4 linked regions of the Lonchura striata genome follow. The protein of the gene in region 1 interacts with the protein of each later gene in a biochemical or structural test. Links are inferred from orthologs where the notes say so. Each region holds a gene or a part of one and is shown on either strand. Other genes may lie near its edges.

Region 1 (7,183 bases):
AGTTATGTGTTTTTTTGCTGTAGACGTGGCTGCATCACACACCTAGTATGGAATATCCATGTCCACTTGGGAACTAAAGAAGCTCTCATAAAGTCTTAGTGTGTTCAGTTCTTTTCATATTTCAGTTATATTTGTTGTTGCCTGAAGTTTAGAGCATTTCTGCAAAATAAAACAATAATTTTTGGTAGTTTAATAAATAAAATTATTGGTTATGTCTTGTGATCCATTAATCTGTAAGGTTAAACTTCTATCTAGTAAAGTTGTCAGAAGGGAGATCTATGGAGAGGGAGAGCAAAGTACAGTAGTGTAAAAATTAGATGGTAATTATAGGGTACAGGAAACTGGGACTTTTTTATCCCAGAATAAAATTCAGGAAATGGAATTTTTGTGTTTGTTGTATTTCTAGATGGCTCTCTACCTGTGCTCAAGGTGGTACCATTTTTATACATTCTGTGCATTGCTGATTTATTTTTACCTTGTTTTTTCCCCAGCAGGTGGCCACACTTGCTAATTGAAATCATCCACTCAGCCCCAATGGAGTGGGTTGTGTTAAGGCATAAAAATAGGACTTGGATATGTAAAAAGAGTGCCTGTTGCAGAAACAAGTAGAGCCTATTTTTTTTTTTTTTTTTTGCCTCTATGCTTCTTTCCTTTTTTGCAGAAACATGGGTCCCTATAAATCAATTTGAAACCTACTGACAATATACATTCCTTCCTATAATTCCTCTCATTCTGGTATCAGTGTCATATCCATTCTTTCTTATACTGAAAGTTATTTTGGCCACAGAAAGAACATTTGTGGAGTAGGAAGGACTTGTAATTTTAAAGATAAGATGAAGCATTAACAAAAACCAATTGAACTCAATTTTATGGGAAAAAAAGATTAAAACTTTCTTTACTTAAGCATGAATTTGTCATCTCCTATGTCAAAAGTAGGATCTCTAGAGAAAGCTGTTTGGAAAAAGTTGAACAAAATTTTCCATTCCACAGCAGCACTTCTTTTCCTCAACAGTACTTGACATTTCACAAGTTTCTGACATCCAATTCCCACAAGCTCATGCATTTTTTTGTGTTGTTTAGGCTAAAACAGAGGAATGGAAACTGTCTAAACTCCTGCATTTTACTTTCTTTATGAAGCGCAAGCACCCCATGTTCTGCAACACAGCTCTCACTCTGACTATGGTGCTGGCCTAGACCAGAGTCAAAACACTAAGTTTGTAGGTTCCTGAAGGTCTCTGAAGGCCAGAGGAGTTCATGTAAAACACTCCAAATGTTGTGAAACATCTGAATTACATCAGCCATGCCAATGCACTTCACTGTTACTGCCTGGTTGCTTTCATAGTTTCTTATTCAATACATTTACAGATAGGAAATTACTGTTTTCTATGTGCTGCACGCTTTCTGTATGCAATACGCAAGCCAATATAAGTGCAGAGAAAATGTACACAAGTAGAGATAGGAGACTGAAAAAAAGAATGTCATAGGGAAAAAAAAGAGGGGGGGAAGTTCAAACACAATGAAGAGATTCTGCACATAAACTGCAGAGAAATGCTAAAATAGATGGAAAGCCACCTGGTGAAAACATAACCAACATAAATTTATTAATATCACCCAGCAGTTTCACTTTTGGAATGTGATATATGAACCATGATGAAATAAAATATGAAAACATGACCACAAGTAGGGGCTATCTGTGTGATTTCAGAGCTTTCCTTCAACATCTTTTTGTGCAGACTACAAGATAAGAAACTTGTCTTCACCACTAGAACCCACAGAGACCTGTCAAGCCTGAAATACAGTAGCTGGAACTTGGTCATTTGATTACTGCCACATTCTCTCATGCCTCTCTTTCACATATTTCACACATTCACAGTGAACCTTTGGTGTTTACTGTCCTACTCTGTCAGCATCAACCACATGAGAACAATTTAGGCATTTCACAAAGTGAGAAAGACATGCTACAGCTCTGCCCTGCAGTCAGAGAGTTAAGTTAGCCAGCAGGAACCTCCTGCATGCAAAACAGGCTTCCTAACAGCAATTATATCATGTGAATAGAATTCCTGCATAAAAAATTTCATTTAGCCTTGAGCTTCAGATACATCTGACAATCTGAAATATTATTTCAATTTTATGAATGGAATTCATATTAGAATTATTATTTATGTTAGAAGCATAGAAAATGATCCTTACATATAGAATAGTATGGTCCTTTATTTTATAGGATTAAGTGAAACACAAAATGTCATGTATGATGTGTTTAATCTCTAAATTGAATTTAGTTCAAGTTATTCTAAAGATTCAGTGTGATATTTTTCCACAAAAACTGTTCATGTATGTACTGTGTCTGGCTGAGGCAGAGTTCATTTTCTTCATAGCAGACTGAATGGTGCTGTGTTGTGGATTTGTGACTAAACTACTGTTGGTAACACAGCAGTACCTCAACTACTGCTGAACAGTGCTTGCACAGAGTAAGGACTTTCTCTTTTTCCCCACTTTGTCATCAGCCCCACCCAGGAAGAAATGCTGCTGATGGTCCAGAAATGTGGGAGTGGAATACAGCTAGGACAGCTGACCCAAATTGATCAAAGGGATATTCCATCTCACACAGCATTGCAATCAGCAATAGAAAATGGAGGTAGACAAAGGAGATTGTCTTCCAAGGTGGCTGCTGCTTGGAGACAGGCTGACACTGTCCTGCTTATGGGAGGTAGCCAGATATTTCCTTGCCTTTTAACTTCCACTTTCCTTCATCTATCACACTGTCTTTATCTTAACCCACAAGTTTTCCTGCTTTTGTTCTTTTGTTATGTTCTCTGTCTTACTGCAGGGAGGTGAATGAGGTGAGTGAGTAAGTGAGTGAGCGAGTGAGTGAGTGAGTTGAGTGAGTGGCTGCCAGGTTGACTGGATGCTGGTGCCTGGTGCTCCAATGCATGCATGTCAGGTGTGTAGTAAAACACATTTGGTTATCAGGAATCTGCTGTTTGCTCAGCAAATCCTGCAATCCAGTTGAACATATTGAGACCAGTCAATGGGTTATGGCAAATAAGCAGTGTACTAGGGCAGGATTACATGAGTTAAAGGACAACTCTTACAAACATTTAGGAAACTCACAGCTCAAAAAAGTTTGTATACTTTACTTAAACAAACATGTTTCTCTGGAGCTAGTCTGGCATTCTACATCACTGGTGAATGCAGACTATTTTACTTTTTTTGAAGTTACATATTGGCCTTTCACAATGCACTTACGTTAAGTGATTAACTTCAACTTAATAAAGGAGAAAGGGGAAATTGTTACTCTGAGACCAAACTGGTACCAGTGGAAAAGTGTATGGAAAAGAAGAACTGATGAAGACTAAAAAAACAATCTGTTTTCATTCCATTCACTTCAGTATGTTCAAGTATTTATATGTGATACTAAGGAAGGGGAAAGCAGCGTAACACAAACCACAGGCTTTACCCAACTTGATTTTTGCTTCATTTAAATATATGTGGTTGAAATAAAAAATATATTTTGAGAATGCAACAATTTGATTATTTCCTGTGGTGGAGTATCTCAACAATCTTCATTAAATTGTATCAATTACCAAATACCATTATTGATACACTTTCTAAATGTCTTACAAGTTGGTTTGTTTCTTTCTTTCTTTAAAATGCCAACTCTTAGACCTTGTTAAAGCTGCTATACTGAAGAAATGCTTATCATTATTGTTGTTTCCACTACAACCCACTTACAGCTTGTGGCCAAGTGGCCTTTATGCTGCTTTCTCACAAGGTCATGCTTTGTGCTATGAAGCAGTCAAGACTTGTTCTGGGCTTTATCAGAGACTGCTCAAAAAAGGTAAATTCCCGATGGCAATGCAGGTTTTCCTATGTAGTTCCTCCTTTCAATTCATTTGACTAATAGCTTTGGAAACTGGTTCTTTGAGAGGATTAAACCAGGACTTGTCTGTGTGCGTGATACCCAGCTCCCATCCCGCGCTCCTCAGTGGCCTCCTCAGGCTGCAGTGCACCCCCTGAAGCATCGGCAGAAACTCACGGAATAGTTCGGGGTGGCAGAAACTCACGGAATAGTTTGGGGTGGGAGGGACCTTAAAGATCCTCCAGTCCCAACTCCCCTGCCTTGAGCCGGGACACCTCCTACTCCAGCAGGTTGCTCAGAGCCCCACCCAGCCTGGCCTTGGAAACTGTCAGGGATGGGGCGTCCTGCATTTGTCTGAGCAACCCGCTCCAGTGCCTCACCACCCCCACCGTAAGTGGAAGATGGAGGAGGCGCGGGTCGCTCCCAGGGACTCTTCCCGCAGCGCTGGGGAGAAGCGGGAGACAGGGAACACCCTACAGCCGAGTGCGGCTCGGCCGGGAGCGGGAACAAAGGGAGGAGGGAGAGGTGGGAAGGGAAGGGAGCCACGTGACGCGTGGCGCGGGCGCACCGGAAGGGCACGGCGCGTGCGGGCGTGACGTGGCGGCGGCGGAAGTGCGTGCTGTGTGTGTGTGAGCGTGTTTTGGTCGGGGCAGAGGCGGCGGCGGAAGTCGGCGGCGGGGCTGGGTGAGGCACGGCTGCGCCCCCGCCCCTCGCCCCCACCGAGGAGCCGCCTCCCCTCTTACCCCTCCTCCGCCCACCCTGCTCCGGCGCGCCCGCCGGCCCCGACCGACGCGCCCGACGGACGGACGCCGCTGCGCCGCCGCCCCGGCTCCCCCAGCCCGGCCAGGTGAGGAGGCGGAGGCGGCGCGGGGGGGCTCCGGCGGCGGCGAGACGCGCCTCGTCCGGGCTCCTGCCGGCAGCCGCTCCCCCGGCGCTGCGGGAGCGCCGTGCCGCGGTACGGGTGGCCGAGGTGGGCAGCGCGGCGTGCGGAGCGGGGACGCTGCTCTCTCCTTTCCCGGCTCAAAATGGCGCCCCCGGTTTTCCCACTTCCCCTTATTCCTGCGCCTGGAAGGGAGCCGCGGGGGAGGGGAGGTGGCGGCGGGGGATGGAGGGGCTGGGCCCGGGAGAGCGGGGATCCTCCCCTATGTGCGGGCGCTCCTGCGGAGAGGTATCGCTGTCTGGGGCCGGCCCTCAGGGCTGTGCCCCTCGAGTTGCTTGTGAGATATGGAAGGGGAGGTTGGGTGGTGGGTCCCTCGCTTTCCCTTTCGCTTGCGTCTGGAAGAAGGACGGTGAACTAGGTGGGAAGTAAAATGCTCCCGAAAATGCGTCGCCATCGGGGGGATCGCAACAGGCCTAGTATGCTGGGTATCTTCTGCATCGCACGCAATTGGAACTAGACAAAGCTGGGGTAGGGTGGAGGACCAAACCTAAGCTTTTTGTGCTTTAGAGAAGAGCTGAATTGCATGAGAAGTATCAAAATGTTCCAAACGGGGCCATGAAAGGCTGTTCGCTCGGCATTTGTAATGATTTTTTTTCTACCTTATACCTCTTTAAGAGCTTGAGGATGGTAACGAGAGGCTAAACAGCAAATTAAGCAGCTGAAATTAATACATTTCTTTCATATAACATTCAAGCAAAGTAAAAATCGTAGTATTTTTTATTTTTTCCAGTTTTATAGTGTCTGTTCAGAATTACAGTCATGCTTACCTACAGATTGCTTGTAGATATTGTTCTTCCATAATGAGAAATGTCAGGAAGAGGTAGATGTTGGCTGAAGTGAGGTAACTAGAGACAATGGTATTGTAGTCATCACTTACATTTCCTGTATGATAAACCAGTTTATCTGAAAGCAATTGCTACCATTCATCATTCAGATGAGCTTTTGAGATGGCTAATACCTTTAATTGTAGGGCTGTGATTTTTTTGCAGCAACTGTGTTGATGCACTTGTTTAACTTAGTCTCATTATGTTTCTATGTAAACTGGCTTACATATTGCAAGCATTTTGCTGGTTGTCCCTGTCACTGTCTTGAACACTACAGTAAGGTATCACACTAATTCTGCTGAACCTAGAAGAAAAATTCAGTTAGTAGGACTGGCTAATGCATAAGGCTTTTTACTTACTGACTTTTAAAACATTCAAGAAAGTCCAGTATAAAAAAATTTAAAGTAGATAATAGTTGCAGCCTCACCATTGTATGCTTTATGTCTGTTAATGCAGCATACAAAAGTTTAGCAGTAAGAACAGTGTTGTTTGCTATGGCATATAAAAGTGGTGGAATGTTCCAGTTTTAAATTTATCATGAATTTTTTCCTGTGGCCTTTCTATTTGATAATATGTTTAATCACATTAGTTGTAGGAACAGTACTCACTGTCTTAATCTCTTCTGGCTGGCTTTTGTCACCAGTGTTACTTTGATACTTCTTATTAGCTGTCTTGTAGTTGAAATAGTCCAGTGCTTAAGCTTGCATGACTGAATTATGCCATTAAATTGAGGGTTTGTGGGTATTGGCTGGGGCTGTTCGTATTTTGTACAGAGGCTCAAGCATAATAAGATTTGTGTTTGATCTGTTAAAATACTTAGTACTCTTTCATAAATAAAACTCAGACTGTCCAACAGCATACAAATTTCTCTTCTGGAGTGAGGAGAATATGCAGCATACAGTAAATTAGTTGGTGGGATTATGAGGAGTACTTAGCTCATAATATACTCCAGGCTTTGTGTTCTGGCATTTCAGCATGGACCTGCTCAGTCATGGGGGGGATATTCAGAAGAGTGAAAGTTCCTACTTAGCATAGTGACCTATGTATTTATACCGCCCAAGACTGCAAAATGGAGTTTTTATGTTAAACTCTATAAAAGTAAGAAAATCTCCCTCATTTCCATCCATCTGAAGCCATCTGTCTCAAAAAATTTTATATTTGTTGGACAATACCCTTTTCCTGACCTGGAGTTGGGGCAACTGAGAGGCATTTTAAAAACCTTTATTCCATTTTCAGTCTCATGAGAACGGTGAGGCAATACAGTTATTATAATTCACACCATCACAATCAGAAGCTATTTCCTAATTATAATAGACCATAAGTGTTTCTTGGCCTATCAGCTTTTTGTCACGCCATGCTGTAGATGCCTTAAAGCCAATCATCTAAAACTACCCCTCGTGCATCCCAATACAGTGCATCTTTCATAGTTCTGTTTCTCCAAAGTAAACCCTTCTGTCAATCCCTAAGAAATCTCTACAAATCCATTTCCCACATAAAGTATTTTCTTTAGCAGATTTTTATACTAGTAGATCACTTCCATAACTCCCATATGTATCTGTT
Region 2 (7,563 bases), on another chromosome or scaffold:
TACTCTCTCCCAATCCGGGCACCTTGTGCAGGTCCGGAGAGGCCGCCGTGGTGGCAGCACACAGCGAGGGACCGGCCATGCCTTCGCCCTCAGCCAGCATAGCAGGAGTACTGTACTTGCATTTCTCCACAAGTCCTCCTTATAGCCATGTTGACAAGGGGGTTGGATTTGTAACGTCATTAATTAAAATCTTTTATTAGAAAGTTTTAGCATGTCAATGAAAACTCTCCCACCAAGAGGCACGAGGAGTTAATTGTTTATTTGTTTGCAAGTAATTAGCAACTAATGGTGACACTAGGGGGGCCACCAAGGGGGACAAAGAGTGTTATCTCTCCTAACCAGAGCATCGACTTCACTTTCTCAAAAGAAGCTGTGCACAAATATAGTACTTCTCTTTTATTTGAAATCATTAATGTATAAAATCAGTTTTTTAAAAAACTTTATACTCTAATGGACTCCACTTACCTAAGCATAGAAGCATGATAGGAAACCAGTCAAGTAATAAGTAATCTTATTTAAGTGAATTTCCTTCCAAGGAAATTTAAAAAATAATCTCTTAATGCTATTAGGGTAATCCCGATGAAAATGCCTCTGTTTTTTCATATGCATATGTAATGGTGAACGTGGTCAATAAAACAACAATAGCTTTTGGCATAAGGCACTGTGCAGTGGGTTGGCAGTGTTGTCAAAGCTCAGTGTAATTGCCTTCCAAGTGCCTGGATTAGTTAATAGGAACAGTTGCACCAACTATTTTAAATAATTCATGCATTCATTTTTCTTATTAAAATAACTTTGTTGCAGCCTTTTTGAAACATAGCAGATATGAAATTTCCTGATAATTCTTCACTACATAAAGGCAAAGTTTCAAGTAATAGAAGTAGTACACTCAAATTTACAGGTTTAGAAGCATGCTTTTTCTCATTGATGTCTCTCCCTTCTTGTAGGTTTATAGCAAACAGAAGCATATTTAAATCGTACGGAGCCAACACTTAAAATCATAAAAACAATTATGAGTAATGGGAAGAAAGGAGATAAAGTCTTTGCAATGAAATCTGACAGAATTCTGATTTCATCCATTATAATAAAATACAGACTATAACATTTTTATATTCAAGCTCAACTGTCAGTCACACAGCAGTTTACATCACATGCTCTAAACCAGCTTTTGGTTCAGGACAAGAAAAGGAGGAATTTCTGTAGAGACACTATAAAATCAAGATTTGTCCAAAAGTAACAGGCAAAAATGAAAACAATATTTTTATTTTGGGAGGAAAAGTAACCCCACCTTCTGGCCTGACTTTGTGTTGTGCAGGAAGATTGTTGTCAAACTGAACTATTAAAAGAGTGACAACTCCAGAAGTGATCTTACCAAGGACACTTCTCACACATATCAATGGATCTTGAAGCAGCATGCATCCGCCTGCAATCTTCGCTTGCAAGATGAGCTCCAGTCACCATTTATGGACCTTAAGCCTTCTCTTGGAAACTGTATTTCATTGTTTGGCCCATTAGTATTGACCAATACTACCTTGCAACCCATTTGAAATTACCTATAGACTTTAACTAAATACCTTGGTAGGGGTAATTAGAGCAACACAGCAAACATTAAGTTGGGAATCCTAAGTAATCAATAATAGGAAAACGCACTGCTCCTTTGGATATGCAAATCCAATCCTCTTACAGCATCACATACTTGATGAGGCAGGAAACTAATCTCCCTTTCAGACTCTGCACCACTGTTTTTCACCCAGGGACAGTGGAGTTCATCTCTTTAGGAGAAGGAGTCTCGTTCTCCAGAGATGGGAAGCCTCCACCAGCTGTTTACTCCAGCTGAGGAAACCACACCAGTGCTCTTGGGGTTTTGGTCTGAAGGCCCAGTTCTTACTCTTGCTGCTTTTTGCTCTTCTCACCACTGCTACTGCACTGCTGGGTCACCTTTCCCTAGAGCTTGGGCAACATTTTCAGATTTTTAAAAGGGTATAAATGGTATATATTATCTTTCTTGATTACTTATCACACTCCAAAAATTCACTTTTCACCTCACCTTTCCCACAACCTCTTTACCCAGTATTTCACCACCTCAGAAGTCATGCTGCAATAAAGCTCTTTTTCAAATATGTTTTTAACACAAATAACAAGTATTATTTTCAAAGCCAACTTCAGAATTCCCAAGTTTTTTTAAAGCAAGAATACCTCAAAACAGTACACCAATTTTCACAAAACAAAGCAGTTAGCTATTTCTTGAAGTAAAAGCTACTTTGACACAGGAAGATTAAGTGAATGCAGCTAAATTCAAGGTTAATCCAAGGTTGCCACTAGCAAAAGTATAAGAAAGTGTGTTAAAAAGTGGGAAACGTTGCAAATAAAACCTACCTTATCCACAGAGCTACTTTCACCCTCCAGCAGAGGCAAAATGTTCTCCCCATAATGGCACACCTCTGGAATCCTCTGAAGACATGTTCACTGCTCTTCTCTCTGTTGACAAAGTGCCAAGTATTAATTCTCCATATTTTTAAGGCTTCTTAGAAGATATTTTGCAGAAAAAACAACAACAACAAAATATAACAACCAAAAACCAACAACTGCCCAAAAAAATCCCCAAACCAAACAAAAAACCCAACTCCACAAATCAAAAAGCCCAAACAATAAAAAACCCCACTCACACTAACAAAAGGTCTACAATGCTGAAAACGGTGTAACACTAAAACAACAATTAGAGGATGCAGAGGGATTCTTCAACTCATTACTCTTACATTTGTTGCAGTCAAATTTGTAGCTCAAGTAAAACTCTTGGATGCCACTCACAGCTGTAAATACACAAAGCGAACTAAACCAAACCCACTTAAAGTTACTACCTCCTGAATTCCACTGGGAAAATGATCTTACAGTACAAAACAAAGTAATTTCTTATTGCTGTAAAGACTGCTGTAAAGCTTGGTCACAAATTAACTGTCTCAAAACCAGAAAGCACAAATATATATACATCATGATATGTTAATGTCCATGACAGGACTTAGTCTGTTAAACACCTTGTAAGATAACACTGAATTATTACCCTTATTGACAGGGAAAGGGAGAGGTGCTGTGACTTGCTTCAGTCAGGTGAGTCACCAGCTGAGCTGGTAAATTAATTGACTGAACAGTATTGGAAATTTCTTTACTACTCCCTACAGGGAAAAACAAAGAACACAACAGCAAAAAAAAAAACAAAACAAAAAAACAACCAAAAACAAAACCACCCACCACCCCCTAAAAAACCCAAACCAACAAACAAACAAAAGCCACCTCAAAAATCTTTGTTTGCAATTTAACACACCCGTCCTGTCCTTTATCTGCTTTTAATGGTAAATCATAACCTGATACAACATAAAGAATGGTCTCATAGCAAGACTGCACCACAATAATTGATCATTTGCTCTGCTGAATGAATATACTTAATATGCTTTCTAATCTGGTCTTCACTAAATTCACCTGGCCCCAAAAAGGCAAAACCAGCAAGGGAATAGCCTTTTTTTTTTTTTTTTTTTTTTTTTTTTCTCCCGCCAGATAAGAACTATCATCAAGTCTACCAGGTCTTGCTCTCTAAAACTACCTGAAAAGGAGGTTGTAGCCAGATAGGGATCATTCTTTTCTCCCAGGTCCAAGAAGGGACGGGACCAGAGGAAACAGCCTCAAGTTGTGCCAGGAAATGTTTAGACTGGATATTGGGAACAGTTTCTCCATGGGCAGGGTGGCACTGAAAATCACCACTCCTGAAGTGTCCAGATGTGAGGATGTGGCACAGGCACGTGGTTTAGTGGTGAACACGGGCTCCTGGATTAAGGGTTGGACTCAATGATCTCAGGTCTTTTCTAACCTTAAGGATTCTACAATTCGAAGTAATTTCAGAGCTGAACCAGTTCCCAAGTCCAACCAATGATCTGTTTTGATTACAGTGAGCCCTCACAGTAGTTTTATGCATTTAAAATTTGCCACCAACCTATGGCACCACAACTATTCAGTCTAAGAGAGCAGAGATACTATTTTCTAACATCTAATCAGAATCTCTCCTGTCTCAGCTTAAGGCCTCTTGGCGTCTCACTGCAAGCACAGTAGAAGAGGATGGCGTCCACTTGGGGCCCATCCACATGGCGGGGATAAGAGGAGACTTGCCAAAAGGGGTGCTCCAAACAACATGGCAAGAGTGCCAAAGACGCTCCAGAACGGCAGGGACCCAACAGCGCTCCCTTGCTGTGGAGCGGCCCTCCAGGTAACTGTCTGTGGGAAGACGCCAGCAGCCCCCGGAGCACAGACAGGGCTGGGAGGACGCTTTGCTCGGCAGGCAGGACTTTAGTCCCGGCAGCCACCTCAGCGGAGGCGAGCCCCGACAGCCCCGGCCTGAGGGGCAGCGCGAGCGCCTCGCCCCCGCGCCTGCGCGCGAACGGGCAGGCTCGCCAGCCAATGGGGAAGCCGGGCGGGCCAACGGGGAAGCTGGGCGGGCCAATGGGGAAGCGGGACGCGCGGGGGGCGGGACGTCCGGCGCGCGGCGCGCGGGGGCGGGTCGGGGCTGGCGGGGGGAGCGCAGCCGCGGGCGCTCAGCGCGGTCGCCGCCATGCCCGGCATCGACAAACTGCCCATCGAGGAGACGCTGGAGGACAGCCCGCAGGTGAGACCGGCCCAGCGCAGGCCGTATCGGGGCCAGCGCTGCCTCCGTGTTGTTCCCGGCCCCGGGAGAGCCGGGAGGACGGGTGACGCCCCAGCTGCCGCCCGGCCCCGCGGGGCTCCGGCGGTCTCGGCTCGGGCTTTCCGCCGCGGCCGCGTCCTGCGAGCGCCCGCTGAGCTCCCGGGAGAGCCGCGGGCCGGGGGCTGCGGGGCCGCGGCGCCTCTGGCCGGCAGCGGGGCTCCGATCCCCACCCCCGCTTCACTCCCAGGCTCCGTTTCGGACACCTCGTGCCCACAAAACCCGTGTCGCCTTCTCAAAACGATCTTTCCTCGTTGTTTTTCGCTAAGGCGCGTTAAGGTTTAATGGAGCCGCGTGAGAAGCGGTTCTGGGTGAGGCTGTCGCGGCGGTGGGAAGCGCACGGTGCCCGGAGGCCTCTCCTGCTCCGATTCTTCTCTTGCGTAGCTGCTGCCTGATCTGTGTCAGCGATGCTCTCTAGCACTGGAGTTTCTTTCTAAAGTAGGAAATGCTTTATTCAGTGGCTCTGGTTTCTCTTGTTGGCAGCAGCAACAGCAGGTCCTTGTGCTGTGCTTCTTAGATGTGGGGAAAAGTTTGCAATGTGTTTTCTTTTATGGCAGCCTTTTGAATTAAGATCCTTGTTGTGGTGCATGGTTTACGTTGTGAGCAGGGTGTCCTTTATTGCAATAGCATATGCATTGGTAGTTTTAATTCCTTGCTCACAGGAAGAGAAACTTTCGCTTGTTAAGAAGGGAACTTTAGTCCCTAAAGTTAAAATTATTTTAACAATTCTCTATCAAGTGGAAGGATGACTTTAAAAAGGCAGGAGAAGGCCATGCACAAAAGGAGTCATTGATTTCCCAAGGACAGTGCCCCAGATAGCTCAAATGCTGAATATGAGATGAGATCTGGGTTCTGGTCCAGGGGCCAAACCTGCTGTCATCTCATGAAGAGGAAAAAATTTTGAAAGTCTTATAATAATACTGATTTTAAAAAATTATCTCTGGAAGGTCTTTTCTTAGTATGAGGAAGTCAGAACTATTCGTATTTATAGGAAATGTCAAATGTAACATGAATTTAGGACTATCTGAGAACATTTGGGAAGCACATGAGAAAATGTTACTTATTGGAATGCAGTTATAATTCTAGAATCTTCCATGTGAGGTTAGTTGTGATACAGACAAGCAAAGGCTAATTCAGCCCGTTGTGTTTGAGATGCTTAAATAATTGGATTTGTCAATATTGTTTTTTGTTTTAGGTAGAAAATTTACATATTTCAGTCAATTTAATATTTCAGATGAATTCTGGGAGCCGGGTTCTCTAGTAAGCGCTCAGTGATTTTCTGTTACATTAGTTAATTGCTATATTAACTAATTTGTTACATTAGTTAATTTCTGTTACTTTGAAGTCAACGTGGTGGAAATGGCAGCAAATGTTGCTTGAAGAAAGCAGAAGCCTCTCTAGAGGAGTTGCTATGACTTGAATACATTCATGCTGAATATTGCCAAGCCCATCAGCCTGGGTGATTGTTTAGTGCTGCACCATGGCCTGGAGTTGTTGTTTCAGACACTGACTGTAGGTATATAAACGCCATATCAAACTTATTCTGTGTCTGAGGGAGGGAAAGGCTTTTCAAAATGTCCAAACCCATTCATTTCCTGTTGTCACAGGATCAAAATCTAACCACTGTGCTTGTCAGGCCCAAACCAAACGCCAAGTTTACATAGTCTTTGCTATGCAAAACAGGGCAATTTACTTATTAACCTAGGACATGTATTACACAGGAAGTCAGTGTGTATTTGGAGAGTTTCTGCTCACACTGATTTGCGTTCCCGAAGCATTGCACAACAAACAAGCCAAAAGACTGGTAGCACAGGCTCTGTCTCCTGTCACCTGCAGTGCCCTCCAGCTGATGGCACAGACAGCTTAAAGCTGACTTCTAACGCGGGGTTTCATCGTGCAGCTTCTCCTGGTCCTTTCCTTGCTTGCTCACAAACACGGATTGAAAGACACTGAAAGAAAATGCCAAATGATGCAGAGTTTTACTAGAAATACAAGTGATCTGCTGTAACGTATTTACAGTTTCAGATTAATTTCTTTCCATTAGTATAATATGATATTGTTTTAACAGTTGAGCATCAATAACAGACATTTTTAAAGTAAAACATAAAATTTTTTTTTCCATGTTCAGTTTTAAAGAGTAAGCATAATCTAGAAACCTTACATAATACTCCTTTAAAATTACAAGCTTAGGTTTATTTATGTTCAGGTTTAAAGGTCATGAGTATATAATTCAATGGTTATAGTACCATGTAATTTTTCCTTTTGCATTCTTTCGTGTATGTCTACCTTAATGGCGCAGTCAAGGCTGTTAGGATGTCATATGTTGCCACACCTGGCAAAGATTTGAGTTCTCCACCTCTTTCCACTTCTTTTATAAATTAGAACCATCATTAAAGCTATTTATTGTGCTGATGATGTTTTTTAATGTTTAAATATCTTTTAGATGTTCTATAGCTTGACAGTAGTTGTGATACAGCCAGGTATTTAATAATGCAACTTAGATAAAAATATCTTATGTCAAAAGAATTGTTAAATAAATATACTTTATATGGGTTTAATATGTACTCTTTGATTATCATTAAAAGCAAAAAATCAGAAATAGCTGAAAAAGGCCTTCATGCTTCAAGGGGAGATGGACTAAAGATATCAGTAATTTCAAGACAGCCTAGAGTAGACTAAAAAATATAATTTCCAATTTCAAGTGTTTAACAATCATAGTTTGGGGGGAAAATCAATTATGTGCTTATGATTATTTAAATTTTCTTCCTGGACATAAATTTTAGTGTAATCCTAGAAACAAAGCATGGTCCTTTTGCTAAAACATTGCCAAAATATTTCCTTTG
Region 3 (7,654 bases), on another chromosome or scaffold:
AACACCCTCCCCAGGATCCAACACCTGGATGTCTGGGCTGTTTCCTCAAGCAGGAAGTGATGAATTTGCTCATTCCCATGAGTATAGGGCAGGCATCAGCCCGGAGCTGGCTCAGGGATCCCAGGGCCATGGTGCAGACCCACAAGGAACAGCCAGACTTTCTTCACAGAGCCACATACATGTCACTTCTGGGCCAGCTGTCGGTACAAGTTCAGAGTCAGCAGCATAACTTCAGGATCTCCACTTTTTATGTCAAGAGCTTGCAGGAAGCAGTCCAAAGCCTCCTGGAGTTTTCCATCATTCTGAAGCTTCTTCCCACTCTGTACCAAAGTGTCATAATCTGCAGCAGGAGAGGAATTCTGCCCAATGTCCTTTTCAGAGCTGCTTTGCTGGGTGAAGTAGTCAATCTGCTCATCTGACTGGAGCTCAGCGTCACCTGTGGATTCCTCCTGTGATGACTCTGCCTCGGACTGCTCAGATTCCACACTGTCTGTGTGAGAGGACTCTTCACTTGTATCAAGTGTTTCTCCATCAGGTTCTTCTTCAGGCTCAGCAGATTCCCCAGTGCACTCCTCAGCTTCATCTTCCACAAGCCCATCTTGCTCCTCCTCCTCCTCCTCCTCATCATCATCATCATCATCATCATCATCTTCTTCATCAGTGGTTCCCATGATTTCCCCAATGTCCTCCACCTCATCTACCAACCTGCTGATGAATGAGCGCCTGGAAGCATTAGACCTGTTTCCACTGTTATTTAATTGGGGAGAAAAGATGGCTTTAGCTCTTGTTGTGTCATATTTAGGGGTGGAAGCATTAATTCCTTCCAGACGTCCGTGCTGAATGCTATCCAAGGGAGAGGAGGGCACTTGTTCAGGCTGCTCTTCACTCTCACTGTCTGAAGAAATTCTGTTTAAGCGTTTCTTCCTACTAGAAATAAAGAGACCACTGCTTTCCTCCAATGATTTACTCTCTTGCAGGGAGGCATTTGGCTCTTCCTCAGCTGTGAGACAGGGTTTGCCATGGCTACTGGTCTCACTTGGCCAAGTTTTGTTTGGAGATTCTTTGTCTGGAGATTTACACAAGCTTTCTGCCTGGAGTTGTAAGCTCTCCTTCTCAGGGTGTTCCACTGATCCTCCTCTATTTGAGGCATCCTGCCATTCCTCTTCAGACTCTTCCAAAACCAGATTGAAGTCAACTTGATCCTGGAAAGAAGGAGCAGATGTAGCCTCTGAGCTGTCTTCTAGCACATGAGACTTGTAGAGCTCAGCATTGACTTCTGGTGTAGCATTTTTTAAACTCAGCACTGCAGAAGCCGGCTCAGGATCATTGTTCTGCTCTGTCCCCAGGGCACTGTGTGGGTCAAGTATCTGAACTGACAATTCTGCCTCACTTCTAGGATCAGCCATGCCAGACTGGGAGGAATTGTGACAATGCCAAGACAGGTCATTCCTTGTCTTGGCCGAGCTGTCTGAATGTACCTGCGAATGTTGTTTCTCTTGGAGGCTCTGACTCTCTTTCTCGAGTGCAGGGGATGATGGTATAATGTTAGATTCAGGATTTTGCTCAGATTCTTGTTCTGCTTGTTCTTGATCAGATTGTTCTGCTGTCTTGCTGGTATTGAGCACTTCTGTCTCCATACTGGACACACCTTGTGCCAGTTGCTCTTCATCCAAGTCACCAACAGTCAGAGTTGCCATTCTGGAGCTGACATCGAGCACCTGGGCTTCTTCGTCCTCTGTAAGATCAATAAATTTGTCTTTTTCTTGTGCATCAGCTACTGGTGGTGAAACAAAATTATTTTTGTCATTCAACCCTGGAGACAACTTCTTTGGCCTGGAAACTGATCCCGATGGTCTTTGCCACAACTCTTCACAAGTATTCCTGATCCCCTCCATCCTCTGATCTCTGAGCTGGGACTCCAGCTGGACCAGCTCATGGGCTTTCTGTACTCTCCGCTGGATGTACTGATGGGCTTCCTCGCTCTCCACCTGCTCCTCATGAGCCATCTCCCTTGTGTAGATCAGGTCGTGGTCAGAAATGCCAAACATTGCCAAGGAATGCAGGTAAGCAAGATGCTCATCCAGCTGCAGGTCAGACTTCCTTTGCATGGCGTGCAGGGACTGCAGCTGGATCTGAGTTGCAGATGTCCGAGTATCTTCCAATATGAAGAGCTCTCTTAGTTCCTGTTTGGAGAAATAACGGAACGGGTTCTTTTTGTCACCGGTGGTCTGTCTGATTAACGAGTCCTTGAATACCTGCCGCCTGTATATCTTCTCTTCCACGGTGCCGCAGGTGATCAGTCTGTAAATCACTACGTTCTCTTTTTGCCCAATTCTGTAAGCTCTGTCCACAGCCTGAGCATCAGTTGCTGGATTCCAGCTGGGATCAAAGATCACCACTCGGCTGGCCGCTGTCAAGGTTATGCCAACGCCCCCAACCTGTGTGGTGAGCAGGAAGACAGAGTAGGTGGTGTTGCTCTGGAAGGCGTTGATGCGCCTCTCCCGCTCCGTCAGGTGGGTCACCGTGCCGTCGATGCGCAGGATCTGGAACTGTCGGCGAGACAGGACGAACTCTATGATATCCAGCATCTTCCTCGACTGTGAGAACACCAGGGTTCGGTGTCCCTCTTCTCTCAGCCGCTCCAGCAGTCCCACAAGGAACTGCATCTTCCCAGACTCCTCGATCACAGTCTCATCAGAGAGATGATCTATTTTGTTCTTGCCTGCAAACATAACTGCTTCCATCCTGTAATCCTGCTCGGAGTCCTCCTCTTCCTCTTCCAAGCCCAGCTGGGTACAGGCTCTTGGAGACAGAAGCCTGGGGTGGTCACAGAGTTTCTTCAGGATTGTCAGCTCAGCCAAAGGTGATCGGTTCATCATCAGTACTTCCTTCACATGATCGAGGCAGAGAAAGTTCCTGTAGATTTCTTCCTGCACTGGTGCCAGGTACACCCACACGACAAAGTCATTTTTCCTAGTGAGAGATGGCATGACAGGAGCCTTGTTCTCACTTGGATCCTCAGAAAGAGTAGGATCAGCTTTATTGGTATGATAGTTTTTGATGTCTTCCTTGGTCCTTCTGAGGAAATAAGGCTTTATAATTGACATGAGATTCTCTGATATCTTTAGCCCCAGTGCTTTCTCACCTGGAGTCGCATCCTTCTCCCTCGCCCTGGTAATGGGATTCTCATACTCCATTTTAAAAGTTTTGGCAGTTCCCAGGAGGGAGCCTTGACAGGCAAAGTCAAACAAGGACCACAGTTCCCGGAGGTTGTTCTGCACAGGGGTGCCTGTAAGCAGGATGCGGTAGTGGGCCGGGATTGCATACACACACTTGGTTGTCTTGTTTGACGGGCACTTGATCTTATGTGCTTCATCAAGGATAATGTAGTCCCAGACAAACTCCTGCTCATGGCGGCTGGCCAGCTGCTTCCAATTGTTAATGAGCATCTGGTAGCTCGTGATGATGATGCCGTTCTTCCTCTGGACCCTTTCCAAGTTCCTGGTGCGCTCTGTCTTGCTGGTGCCATGGAACTCCTTGACGCGAAGGCCGGGGGTCCAGCGAGCAAACTCAGCCAGCCAGCTGCTGACCAGGGTGGTGGGCATGATGAGTAGGACGTGCTGGATGAGCTCGGCATCGAACATACCCGACAGGAAGGCAATCACCTGGATGGTCTTGCCCAGGCCCATGTCATCTGCCAGGATGCCGCCAGGCTTGCGCTCCCGGTGCAGGCGGTACAGGAAGGCAACACCTTCCCGCTGGTGCTGGAACAGCTTCCTGTGCATCTCCCCGTAGATCAGCAGGCCGCTGCCGCACACGTCCACGAAACCCTCATCATCCTCCTCCTCCTCCTGCTGCTGCTGCTCGGCCGCCGCCAGTGCCTCCTGCACCCGCCGCATGCGGTTCTGCAGCTTCTCGCTGGGGCGGATGGCAGCCGCCAGCCGGAACAGCCGCAGCGCCTCTTCAAGGTCCCCGTCGGCCGCCGCCGCCTTCGCGCTGGCCACGAGCCTGTGGGAGTCACCGTGAGCACCGGGTGGCCAGGCCCGGGCTGCACCCAGGAGTGCCGGCCCGGCCCGGCCCGCCAACGCCAACCCCGAACCCAACCCCAGCCCCAGCCCCAGCCCCAGCCCGCCCGCCCGCGGCCGCTCAGCCCCGTCGCCGCTCACCCCCGGTACCGCTCCTCTTCTGCCGCCGCCGCCTCTCGCGGCCCGGGAGCGGCCATGGCGCCAGCGCTGCCGCCCTGCGCTTCAAACCCGGCCCTTCCCGGCCTGCCCCGCGCCACATGTAAATCACCACCGCCCGCAGCCAATCAACGCCGGGGGCGGGCAAAGGGGCGGGGCCGAGCGCTGCCCGCGCCTCCTCGCGGGTCGGGGCAAACACCGGGACGAGCTCCGGTCCCGGCCGGTCCCTTTCCCGCCGCGCGGTGGGAAGCGAGGTGTGGGACATCCAGGGGGAGCCCGGCAGATCCACAAGTCCGCCCGCCCCCGGCGCACTCCCGGTCACGGGCGCGGGCGGCGGGACCTCCCGCCAGCAGGGGGCGCGGCGGCGGGCGGCGCGGCGCTCCGCGGCCGTGCGCAGCGCGGAGCCGGCGGAGGGCGAGCGCTGCCATGGAGGCGCGCGCCGCGGGCCGCGGCCTGCTCGTATCCACCGCGCGCGGCGGGCCGGGCGGGCGGGGGGCCGCGGTGGGGCGGGGCAGGCCGGTGACCGGAGGTTTTCTTAACTGCGGCCAAGAGCGTTGCTGGTGCGGAGGTGCGGGCCGGGCGGCGGGAGCCGTGCGTGCTCGGCCTGGAGCGGCGGGCCGGCCGCTACGGGTGAGTGAGTGCGAGCGCGGCGGGGCCCGGCTCGCCTCGCTCGGTGCCGCCGCGGCGGGGCTCGGTTCCGCGCCCAGCTGCCACAGCCGTGACTCTCGGCATCCCTGCGTGCTCCCCCGGCCGGTCCCCTCACCCCGCGGGACCGGCGCTCCGGAGGTGCCTTCCCGGCTCCCCGATGCTCCCCCGGTAACCAGAGCCGCTGCCAGCCCGGTGTTGGACCTGCCCCGTGGCAGCGAGAGTTCAGCAGCTCTTCCTTCTCCCCCGGGGTATCCGCGTCCTGCACGATCTCACCTTCGTTGCCTTTTTCAACTCCTGCCCCAGAAGCTTAGCGATAAAAATCAAACGTTGTGTCTCTGTACACACAGCTCCTGTTTGTGTGCGTTCCTGCCGGGTTTTTACAAGCCTTCCTTCTGTCTGCAGGGTGGTTATTCGCTCCCAGGAGAAAGAAAACTCTGATCCGGATTATATTCCCATCAACAGCCGTTTTAAGTGTGTGCAAGGTACTGACTGCTGGGGGGAAGGTCGAGAATCCCCTGCTGTTGATCCACAAACCTTAAATTTAATGGTGTTTCCTGACCTGTCTCCCGAGCCACAGCGGATTGAATCCTTTCTCTGTGAAGCAGCAAGTCACATTTTATGGCATCCCCTTGTTCCTCATTCAAGCAGGTTGTCATTCCATGTCAGCATGAACTTGTGAGGAACTTGGCTGGCTCCAGTGCGTGGTGTGCTTGGCATCACACAGAGCCAACACATGCAGCATCTGGTTTCAGGGTCTGGAATTTGCTGTCTGCTGGTGTCGGTCTCTCAGACTTCTCTGCTCTGCCGAGAGTTGGGAGCTGTTGCTTTATCCTGCATGTTTACATCTAAACTTCCTAAGGTCTACCAAGCTCTCAGCATCCCACGTGCTGAATGAGGAAGGGCTTTAGGCCTTGTTTTGGAAGAACTTAAATAGCAGCAAGTGGTCCTGGGGCAAATCTTTGTAAGGAGTAAAAGTCCTTTTTCCTGAATTTACTCATTCCCTTGTGTGCAGTTCAGGATGTTCTGCCCCTGATTTTGCTCTGTAGAGAAGCTCTGAAGTTCCTTGTCAAGTTGGTCTTTCCTGAAGTAGCTGCACTGATGGGGAAAAACCAGCCAGATGTATGAGAACTGTGTGGTGGGAATCTCCCTGCTGGGAGGTGACTGTCCAGGTTCTCTCTGCCAGAACCGTTAGGAATGTACAGATGTAAATTAGAGCTCTTTGTTCCTGTTAGGACTCTCTCATGGCTGGCAGCAGGCAGTGTAATTATATGAGTCTTCAATTACTGCAGCATCCAGCGTCAGCTCTACTGATCATGTTTTTCTCTTTTCTAGAGGCAGAAGAAACTCTGCTGATTGATATAGCTACAAACAGTAAGTTTCATAAGGGTAGTGGTGCAGCTAAAGGTCCTGTCATGGAACAGCCACTGGTGCTTGTTTTGCCTTCCAGTCTTCCCCCAGGCTCTGTGTTTGTCCTCTGCTCAAACAGGGATTGTTTTCCCTCTGACATTGTCATCTGGCTCTGTGAGACACTGGCTTGTCATGACAGACAAGGTTTGAAATGCAAATGGTCAAAATGTTTGCAGTTATTTTCCTGCTTTTAGAGCTCTTGTTTTCAAAATTGCAGTAGGGAGGATTCCTAAAGCCAGGATAATGTGCTGGGGATATCCCAAGCAGTGTGGGGGGACCTCAGAAGTGCAGGGAGGTGCAGGTTTCCAAAACAAACAACACCTGGAAGCTGGGTGGGAAGCCTGGGGGCTCTGAGGCAGCCTGGGCTGACTCAGTGAGTGTGTTTGAAGCAGGCTGCAAGGTCCGGATCCAGGGTGACGAGGCGCCGGAGCGGCTCTTTGAGATCCCTGACGAGGAGCGCTGCTTGGGATTCCTGTCAGAAGTGCAGAGCATACAGGAAGGTGAGCAGAGTCTCCCCTGTGCATGTGAAATCCTCTGCCAGCAGTGACTGACAGGGATGGATTTTTTCCAGCCCACCTGAAAGCATCTCTTCCTGAACCTAAGGACTCAGCCATTTGGCATCAGGTGGAGAAGAGCCTTACAGGTCTATCTCCAGGTACAGTTGACTTTGCTCCGGGGCCTGTGCAGTTCTGGGGTGCCAAGGGTGGGATCTGGGTCTGGCCATGCTTCCTTGTCTGTTAATTCCTTCCTGAGTGCTATTTTCACCCTTGGTTTGTGTATGTTGAGCTTCCTGCCTTGCCTTGTGGTTAGTGCCCCTTTCTCCCATTTCCAGGGTCACACAGTTGATGTATTCCTACTCTCGTTTGGTTTTTTGGTTACATTTTTTCCTTCTTGATCTGAGCTGTTTCAGATTGTTTCTCAGGGTGTTTTTCTTGGATTTTTCATTACAGGAGCTCTGGGGTTTGAGGATGACTTCAACACTCTGAGCCTAGAAGAGAAAAGAAACATGCAAAACCACCAGACGGGATCTCGACGGGAACCCCCACCTCCTCCTGTCCCTCAGAATAAGCAGTAAGGGATCTGTTCCCTTTTTTACTTTTCTTCCTAGACAGCAGAACTAGTTCTAGTGCTGCTCTTGCTTCCTTCCTAGATTTCACCGGGAGAGAGAAGGCACATCCAGAGACCAGCCCAAGGTGACCAACACGATGCGCAAGATCTTTTTGCCCAGCACACAGTCGGGGCAGAGAGAGGGGCTCATCAAACATGTGCTGGCCAAGAGGGAGAAGGCCTACATCAACCTGCACAACTTCAGGTGAGACCTGGGAGGGAAGGACAGAGCTGCAGGATCTCTCCTGTGAGCTTGGATCTCACCCAGGATTGGACCCTGGTAGCTGGTGAGGGGTTGCAGCTCAAGTGGC
Region 4 (7,883 bases), on another chromosome or scaffold:
GCAGGGTAAGGAGGAAAGGCTGGATAGAGAGACCTTCAATAAAACCAGATGGGAAACTCCTTGAGAAAAATGAGCTAATGTACCTGCCTTAAGACTACTTTTAGACCTCTGTGTAGACATTTGTGCTTTGTTTCCTTGATGAAACCAATACAGCTTAAAAGTACTAAGAAGGAAACCAAGGAGAGGACATTTGTCAGATACCAGCCAATTGACCTTGTCTGCTTCCATGAGATGGAAGGAACACTGGCTGAAGGAGTGTTACTAGATCATGAATTGTATTAGTATGCTAGAGCAGGATACCTGTTTCTGATAGAGATGGGGCATGTCAGATACCAATACAATGGAATGATCCCAGACAAAAGGTGAAATCAGCTCTTGAACTTATTTCAGACACTGTGGATTAAACTGACAGCTGGTGATCCAGACAAGACAGCAGTATGTCACAGAAGGGTTGGCTGAAGTAACACCTTTCTCATAGCTAACATTTCCTGACTTTCTTCCTGTTCATATGCATTGGAAAGAGGGGGAATCTGGACTCATAGATTGCACAAATACTCCTACAAAATGGAATTCAGGTAAACGAGGATCCAACATGCCATAGCTAGTTCATTGCCATCTTCTCTCTATAGTGGAGGTAATTCATATGATGCAGCATAGACTGATTATTATAGGGAAAAATGTTAGGTTATAACTCAGACAACTAGGGGAAGTGATCTAAGAGTCTGCCTGAAATATGATTGCTGATTTAAAGTAATTTTCACAGAGAATCATATGTTTCCACCTTGAATTCCCTCTTGATTTTGAAGCTGGTACTGTGTAGAGTGTCTGAAGAAGCTTTGTGAAAAAACAAGAGGAAGAGGAGAAAAGTCAAGACAAATGAAAAATATAGTAAGAATTTATGAAGGGTTTTCTGAGCCAAAACAGTCAAGACAAAAAGTAATCTCTTTGAACAAGCAAGTGGTGCTGAAAAAGAGAGCAACAACAACCCTACAAAAAAAATCATAAATCATTCCCTGTCAAATACCAACTGGTGGGGGTATTCCACTTATTGCTTTTAGACATGCCATCTTCAAGAAGGGCATTGGTTGCTGCACAAGTCTGTAGACAAAAGAGAAGATGAGAGGCTAGAAGAGACAGCACCCAAATGTGGTGTACTTGACATTTGAAATGAGCCCTGAATGGAATCCAGACATCACAGTGTATGGCTCTTGCAGTTAAATCATTAAATTAAATGTAAATGCAAAGGAATTGTGAATCCTCCCGTCTCTCTTCTTTATAATTTACATACTTTATGTAAGTGCTGCCACTCCATGGCACTCAGGACCAATATGACAGATTATTCAGCAGTGTTAAGGGACCAAATAAACTTGAGATGATGACTGGCTTGCAGGTACCAAAGCAGTTAATCAACAAATCAGATAAAAGGGTCTCAATAAATAGTCAGCTGCTGCTCTTACAAACCATTTGGATTGATGAGATTGCAAACACAGTAAAAACCATGGATTTGGCATGGAAATGTAGCTTCTAGCCTGTCTACACAGACTAATTAAACAGATTTGTTATGTATCAAAATGTTTAGTATAAGTAACTTGAGTATATTGAATATATGAGCTTTGGTAAAATGAACAGCAACAATTTTAGTTCTCTGAACAAAATGAAAAATACAGGAAATTTTAGGCTAGATCCACCTAAACAAACAAACAAAAACATCTTCTCTGAAAAATTAAAATCAAAGATCATTAACATAATCAGTTGAGTTTTGTGCTATCCATTTCAATATTAGGAAATTTGAAATTAATTTAAAAAAAACTATCATTAAATTATGAAATTGAATTTAGGCAAATTTAGAAAACAACATTAAACTAAATTAAGTGACTATTTTGTTTAGGGAATATTTACAAAGAACATTCTGATTTTCCCAAGAACAGTCTGATTTTTCACTATGCTTACACTCTGTTTAGAAAGTCTATATTGAACTCAATGCTGTTAAATTTCAGGTATTTTAAACCATTTTTTCCACTATGTTTGTGAAAAACATCCCACTTGAATACCCTGAGAAGTAGACAGGCATCATTTGTATTTACCTCTCCTATACTGAGGTCCAATTCCATTATTAAACATTCCAAATTGTACTGAAGGTATTACAAGAAGTCAAAGAACACAGATGAACCCAACTGGAACATATTTCTTATTGAGCTGTGCCATGGCTACAGGGCTAACTGGGCCCCCCTTCTCAGCTGTATTCCGAAATTCAGCCCACTGAAATTTCTCCTCCTGGACATCAGTAGCAATTACCAATTTAGCAACAGACCAGGTCTTAAATTTCACAGTTAAGGGTTATCACACAAGCATATTTTACCACTTACTTTCTTACTGTTTGCAGAGGACCTTGACTGCATCAGAGGAGGAGTTACCTAACAAATACAGGGTTTGTCGGCTGAGCTTTTATATCCCAGTGCCAGGATGGGCAGTAAAGGTCTGATTTTGCTGCTGGAGAGAGTACTTCTGCACTACTGTTTGTTTGCATTCATTCCCTGTGAGCCATTACTGATACAATTGCAGTCTCAAAGAGAACCTGTAGAATTGCAGTAAGGTTTAATTTGTCCCCAAATACCTCTTCCTACTGTAACTAGCTGGATGAAGACAAATTAATTTTTGAAGCACTGTAAACTGAATCGTTTTAGACTGATCTGGATGTTTTCACTTTGCAGACACTCTCTGTATGGGAAGTGTGATGAGCCTGACCAAATAACAGCAGCCAAAGTCTTCTTGTTTACACCAGCAAAAACTAGATCATGCTCAACATCTGTTAAGAGACACAGAAGCTCAATTTTCCCTTTGGGAGCAAACTGATACCATTCCACATATCACTGCATCTGGCATAATTTTGTAGTATCAGTTCTCTAATTGTCTCCAAGATATTCACAGTAAGTCTAATACCCTCATAAAGACCCAAGTCATATTGAGCAGGTGCAGTCATTTCATGGGGAACATGTTTCTCAGGAAGGGATAAAGTCCACTTATATTCAGAAACAGGCAAACAAGTGGCATTTTTCTTTAAAAATGTAGAATGAAATTTCTCTTTTCAAGAGTGATTGACACCACATGGTGTTTTATCAGTACCTGAAAAAGATTAATTTGGTGAGATGTGTTCTCATATCTGTGGTCAAATGAAACATGCAAAGGAGCACAATTAAGTGAAGATACAGTGAAATGTTTGATTTCTTGTGCACACTCCAGCATGCCATCATCCTCCTCACAACTCACTGCAGGCAATCCTCACTGCATGGTTTGTATCCCAACAGGAGGCTACCACACTTCAATTGTTCTATTTACCATTTTAATTATCCTTAGCACTTTATTTTTGAAAAAGAGCAGTTACTGACGCTGTGGAGAGACAGGGTTGACCAAAGGGTTGCTGTTCTGTACAAGTTCGCTTTTCCTTACATACCTGATTTTTACTACCTGGGAACGGCAAGAGAGGATGGACTACCCGGGTCAGCAGGGCTCACAGTACACAGGCAGGAGAAAAACCTTTACAGCAAACGCCTGTAACGCACGGCCGAGGCCGCCACGGGCCCTCGGCTGCTCTCAGACGTGCTTGTTGCGCCATCTAGTGACTGCCACGTCTCCCATCCTTCACCCACCCCCTTTTCTGCCCGTTCCCTACACGCTCATGACAAATCGCGCGCATGTAACAGGAACCAGAAAACTGAAACACCAACAGAAACCTCCCTAAGAGCTCTGCGCCTACATGGCTCTTGCAGTTCTTCTAGAGACGTGTATCGCTGTAGCGTTCTTCCACTACTCAGTGAGTTACAGCTCACTGGCCTCAATTGAGGACAAAAGGAGCAAGGAACAACAAAGGCAGCTGGTGCCACTGTGTGGCACAGGTATGGCTCACCGCCAGGAAACTACCCGGCTCCAGCAAATCCAGGGGGATGACACCACAGCACGTGAATCATCGAAGACACTGAGCCTCAGGCTGCTTCTTTTCTTCCTCACCCCATCACGATCCGTGCTGAAAAGGTTTTAAAGGTCATAATATGGAAGGTAGAAGTGCAGGGCATGATGAGTCAAAGTCCACCTTTAATGGACAGGTCTCAAGTGTAAATAGCATCGCCACGTAAGAAAATCTCTGCCTCCAAGAGCTTTAATCCTAACACACGAAGCCGATGTGTGATTACACACTCCTATTGTTTCTATTTGATTGGGAGTGTGTGAGAGAAGGGACTGCTGCCAGCTCAGACTAAACAAAAGCTGGCATCAGAAAGGGGACACGAAAAATGCCCTGCCGTTGATTTACATAGCTCCTTGTCAGGAGGCAAGTAGTAGGATTCCTGGGCTTCTTTGTGGCTAAGTACGTCACCGGATGCTCTAGTTTGCAGTTTTGGGACACTTCCTTTAGGAACGTTCAGTAGGCTGGGAAAGGGAACGTTGAGCGTGTTGACATTGGCAACGGTGCTCCTCTTGAACGTGCCCAGCGATTAGGACACACAGCATAGACCCACCAGTGCTATGGGAACGGCCCCAGGGCACCGGGGAGGGACGCATGTCCCCTACGTGACAGCGCCGTCCCGTCCTGGAGGGGACTCTGTCACCGCAGCTCTGCGGGCTCGTTACCCCGGGCTACTGCGAGGCGGCTGGACACGGCGACCAGCGCCGGCCGCAGAGACGCCGCTGCCGCTGCCGCCTCCCAACCGCCAGCGGCAGCGCTGCGCTCGGCAGCCTCCCCGCGGCGTCGGACGAGCCCTCCTTCTCCCCGCCCTTTCCTCCCATCCATGGCTCATCCCTCGCCCCGCCCTCCGCCGCGCTCTGCCGCTCCCGGCAGCCGGGCCGGGCCGCGGCCGCCCTGTTTTGGAGATAGTCACCGGCCGCCCGGGCGCTGAGGTGAGGCGAGCCCTGCCCCAGGCTTTTCCCGGGCCGTCCCTGGGCTGCCGCTGGGCCACGGACCCTGAGGCAGCCGGGGCAGCCCTCAGCGGCCTCTCCCCAGGCGGGCGGATCGCCTCAAGCCCCGCTCATCTCCCTGCGCAGCCTCTCTCCTGCCCCGGGCGGGGCGGGGCCGGGCCGCGGAGGGACCGGGCGGGGAGGAACCGGGCGGGAAGCCCCTGGAGGAACCGGGCGGGGGCCCGGCGGGAAGCCCCTGGAGGGGCTCGCGCCCAGCCCGGGCCCTTCCCGCCGCATCCTGCGCCGCGGGTCACACGGCCCTGGCCTGGTTCGTTTCAGGGAGTGCCTAAGGACGATGCGGCCCCCGCATCCCTGCAGTCGGTGAGGGCAGCAGGCGAGGCCGCGATGGCGTCGGGCTGCCCGGCGGCCTTCGGGGACCCGACCGAAGTGCGCGAGGGCTTCCTGTGCCCGCTGTGCCTGAAGGATCTCCAGGCGTTCCGGCAGCTCCAGGCGCACTACGAGGAGCAGCACCCGGGCGAAGACCGGGACGTCAGGGCGCAACTCCGAAGTAAGGGCGGCCGCGGTAAATGCGTTCGGCTTGGCCGTGGGAAATCCCTGCTCGTACTTCGAGTGCTCCCAAATGTCTGACAATAATAAAATATCAATTGGAGGGACTTACAGGCGAGGTATGCAGTTCCATTCTTCCGTAAATCTCCTTGGGCCAAGCATAGTACTAACCTTCTCCCGATACTTCCCATAAATTATTCTAAAGTAGGCGCTAAAGAACATTGCTCTACAAATGTCTGCTTTTATGCACGAGTTTTACTGTTGATCTTTTAGGCTTTTTTGTTTGTTTTTACTTGAAAACTCAAAATTATACTAACCCAGTGAATACCCAAGATTTACTTGAAGACTGTGGAGAATATGGGGAATCTCTGGTACTTACCAGGTTCCAGTTCATTAATCTCTTGTTTTGACAGTAGATAAAGCTGTGGTTGCAGTTAAAGTGTGAAGTTAAGAAAGGTTGTTATTGGAAAAACATGGAAAAGCATGTGGGTGGTGGAACTAGCAGGAAGTGCTGGGAGTGTTCCATATCTGTTAGGGAGTTCCACCCTTCATTAGTATTTGGAAAATCTCTTTGAATTTTGTTTCACTAAGATATTTCCCTTTTTTTACCCCCCTTATGTATACAATGTCATTTTATATTGAGAGAAGAATGTTTAAAATGTTTAAAATCTGGCGATAATTCTCTATGTTTCCTGCAAACTCTGGTTTTAGTATGCTAGAAGTACTGGCCTCGCAGTCTTGATTTGTTTTTCTCTTGAGATAGACTTTTGAAGTACTAACCAATTTTCGTGGTGAAACCCTAACACTGGGCTGTTTAGTACTTGAAAAAGTCTTTATGTGTACAAGCACACTGAAATTGGTAGCTTGTGCAATAAAACAAGGAATGTGTTGGACGTCCTTGAATCTGAAGAAAATAATAGGGAATTTTGAGAATTAAGATAAAACTATATGATGCTTTGTGCAGTGAGATAGGTCCCATAGTTTAAGACATGTTGCTGTTTTACAGTGAAGTCTGACAATGGAATGTTTTAATCTACTGTCTTGTCCTTAGGACCTCATGCTGCTTTATGACAGACAGCAGAGAGCATTTTGTGTCATCTGTGTTGCTCTGAACTGCATTTTTGTTCTAAGAATGTTTTGAGGATAAATTTATCCAGAAGAAAGGTTTCTGCTAAAAGAAGATGAATATACTGGCTTCACATGACAAATATTTGGTGACTACCTGATATGTCAGATAACTTGGGTTTATTTTTTTCAGATCTAGTCCAGAAGGCCAAAAGAGCAAAGAAGAAATTGCTGAAACAAGATGATGACAGAACTGATTCTGGATCTCAGGAACGATATGAGTCATTCAGCTATGGTGGAGTAGATCCATACATGTGGGAGCCCCAGGAAGTAGGTAGGAGAACTGGAAAGCAATACACAGTGGGAATAAGTTTTGATCTGAATTGGGAAAGTGCTACAGTATTGCCTAAGTGGCTTGGAATTGTGTCTGTGTTCGCTAGCAGGGGGTTATGGTTTGCACACTTTCTTTGAGCAGCCGATCCCTTGGGTGGAGTGTGGGGAAAACACAGTTAATGGGGAGAAGAAAAGACATGTATAGAGTCGTTACCCGAACTACCCTTCAGGGAGCTGTTAATCATGTTATTGTTGCTGTCCTGCTGAGATCTGCTTAATCTGTGTTTACCTCTGTGCAACTAGCTTCATCTTGTCACTTTACAAAAAAGATAATCCACTCATTAAAAGTTATAAGTATATAAAATCTCTAGCTTTTGGGCTACACTTAAAGTAGTTGTTAGTTTGCATGTTTGACAAAAACATTATCTAACAATTTAAACTGTCAGCTTTTTCCTTGGATTTGAGGTGGCAATCACCTCTTATTAAAATGGGGTTTACTTAAAAAAAAAACAGATTAAAAAAACAAACAATAAACAAACTCCACTGCTCTGAATATAAATCTACATTTGTAGAGTTTCAAGGATAAGCTGTAAAGGATGAGCCTGTAATTACAAATACTGCTATTGGCAATTGCCTGTACTATGACTGAAATACTATGGTTATTTTTGGAGAAGGAATCTTTTGTGGATCCTGGGATAGTTTGCACTATGGTGCTGACAGACTAGGGACTAAGTCCTTTGGGTCTGCAGGGTCTGAGTTCTGTATATTTCTTTACTTTTGACTTTGTAACTATTTGAGCAGCAATCATAGTGTAAATATTAGCTAAGAATAAATTTAGGGAGAAGGTTTATGAACATTATAGAAGTGAGACTGCTCTCTGATGAGCATTGAGAAGATGAACCATAGGGATCTGGCATGTGATTTGATGGATCAGTGAAAGGGATTGTGTCTCCAAAGCAGTGGCTTAAATCAGTTACCCAGAGGGACTCTTCCACTACTGTGAATGCATCTTCGGAGATTTTTGGTTACTT

Evidence for each region.
Region 2: the proteins of RAB5A (region 1) and APPL1 form a complex in vitro, tested with the Homo sapiens proteins (2 studies listed by BioGRID and IntAct, with this or other methods). The link is inferred for Lonchura striata from reciprocal best matches to the Homo sapiens genes RAB5A and APPL1.
Region 3: the proteins of RAB5A (region 1) and OCRL form a complex in vitro, tested with the Homo sapiens proteins (2 studies listed by BioGRID and IntAct, with this or other methods). The link is inferred for Lonchura striata from reciprocal best matches to the Homo sapiens genes RAB5A and OCRL.
Region 4: the proteins of RAB5A (region 1) and RBSN form a complex in vitro, tested with the Homo sapiens proteins (3 studies listed by BioGRID, with this or other methods). The link is inferred for Lonchura striata from reciprocal best matches to the Homo sapiens genes RAB5A and RBSN.

Annotation. Positions count from the first base shown.
Region 1 is NC_134603.1:120,168,273-120,175,455, reverse strand, and holds the start of RAB5A (ras-related protein Rab-5A), read left to right. Parts: upstream 1-4,169; 5' UTR 4,170-4,249; intron 4,250-4,470; exon of another isoform or gene 4,471-4,706; intron 4,707-4,768; exon of another isoform or gene 4,769-4,829; intron 4,830-5,006; exon of another isoform or gene 5,007-5,027; intron 5,028-7,183. UniProt on the Homo sapiens protein: The small GTPases Rab are key regulators of intracellular membrane trafficking, from the formation of transport vesicles to their fusion with membranes.
Region 2 is NC_134614.1:12,166,979-12,174,541, forward strand, and holds the start of APPL1 (DCC-interacting protein 13-alpha), read left to right. Parts: upstream 1-4,529; 5' UTR 4,530-4,591; coding exon 4,592-4,645; intron 4,646-7,563. Other genes in the region: HESX1 (homeobox expressed in ES cells 1), read right to left, coding at 1-100. UniProt on the Homo sapiens protein: Multifunctional adapter protein that binds to various membrane receptors, nuclear factors and signaling proteins to regulate many processes, such as cell proliferation, immune response, endosomal trafficking and cell metabolism.
Region 3 is NC_134616.1:15,209,734-15,217,387, forward strand, and holds the start of OCRL (inositol polyphosphate 5-phosphatase OCRL), read left to right. Parts: upstream 1-4,584; 5' UTR 4,585-4,607; coding exon 4,608-4,640; intron 4,641-4,731; coding exon 4,732-4,811; intron 4,812-5,231; coding exon 5,232-5,311; intron 5,312-6,161; coding exon 6,162-6,200; intron 6,201-6,625; coding exon 6,626-6,736; intron 6,737-6,807; coding exon 6,808-6,891; intron 6,892-7,186; coding exon 7,187-7,307; intron 7,308-7,386; coding exon 7,387-7,548; intron 7,549-7,654. Other genes in the region: ERCC6L (DNA excision repair protein ERCC-6-like), read right to left, coding at 183-4,008, 4,167-4,222. UniProt on the Homo sapiens protein: Catalyzes the hydrolysis of the 5-position phosphate of phosphatidylinositol 4,5-bisphosphate (PtdIns(4,5)P2) and phosphatidylinositol-3,4,5-bisphosphate (PtdIns(3,4,5)P3), with the greatest catalytic activity towards PtdIns(4,5)P2.
Region 4 is NC_134614.1:24,097,065-24,104,947, forward strand, and holds the start of RBSN (rabenosyn-5), read left to right. Parts: upstream 1-4,791; 5' UTR 4,792-4,890; intron 4,891-5,226; 5' UTR 5,227-5,292; coding exon 5,293-5,455; intron 5,456-6,712; coding exon 6,713-6,853; intron 6,854-7,883. UniProt on the Homo sapiens protein: Rab4/Rab5 effector protein acting in early endocytic membrane fusion and membrane trafficking of recycling endosomes. Required for endosome fusion either homotypically or with clathrin coated vesicles.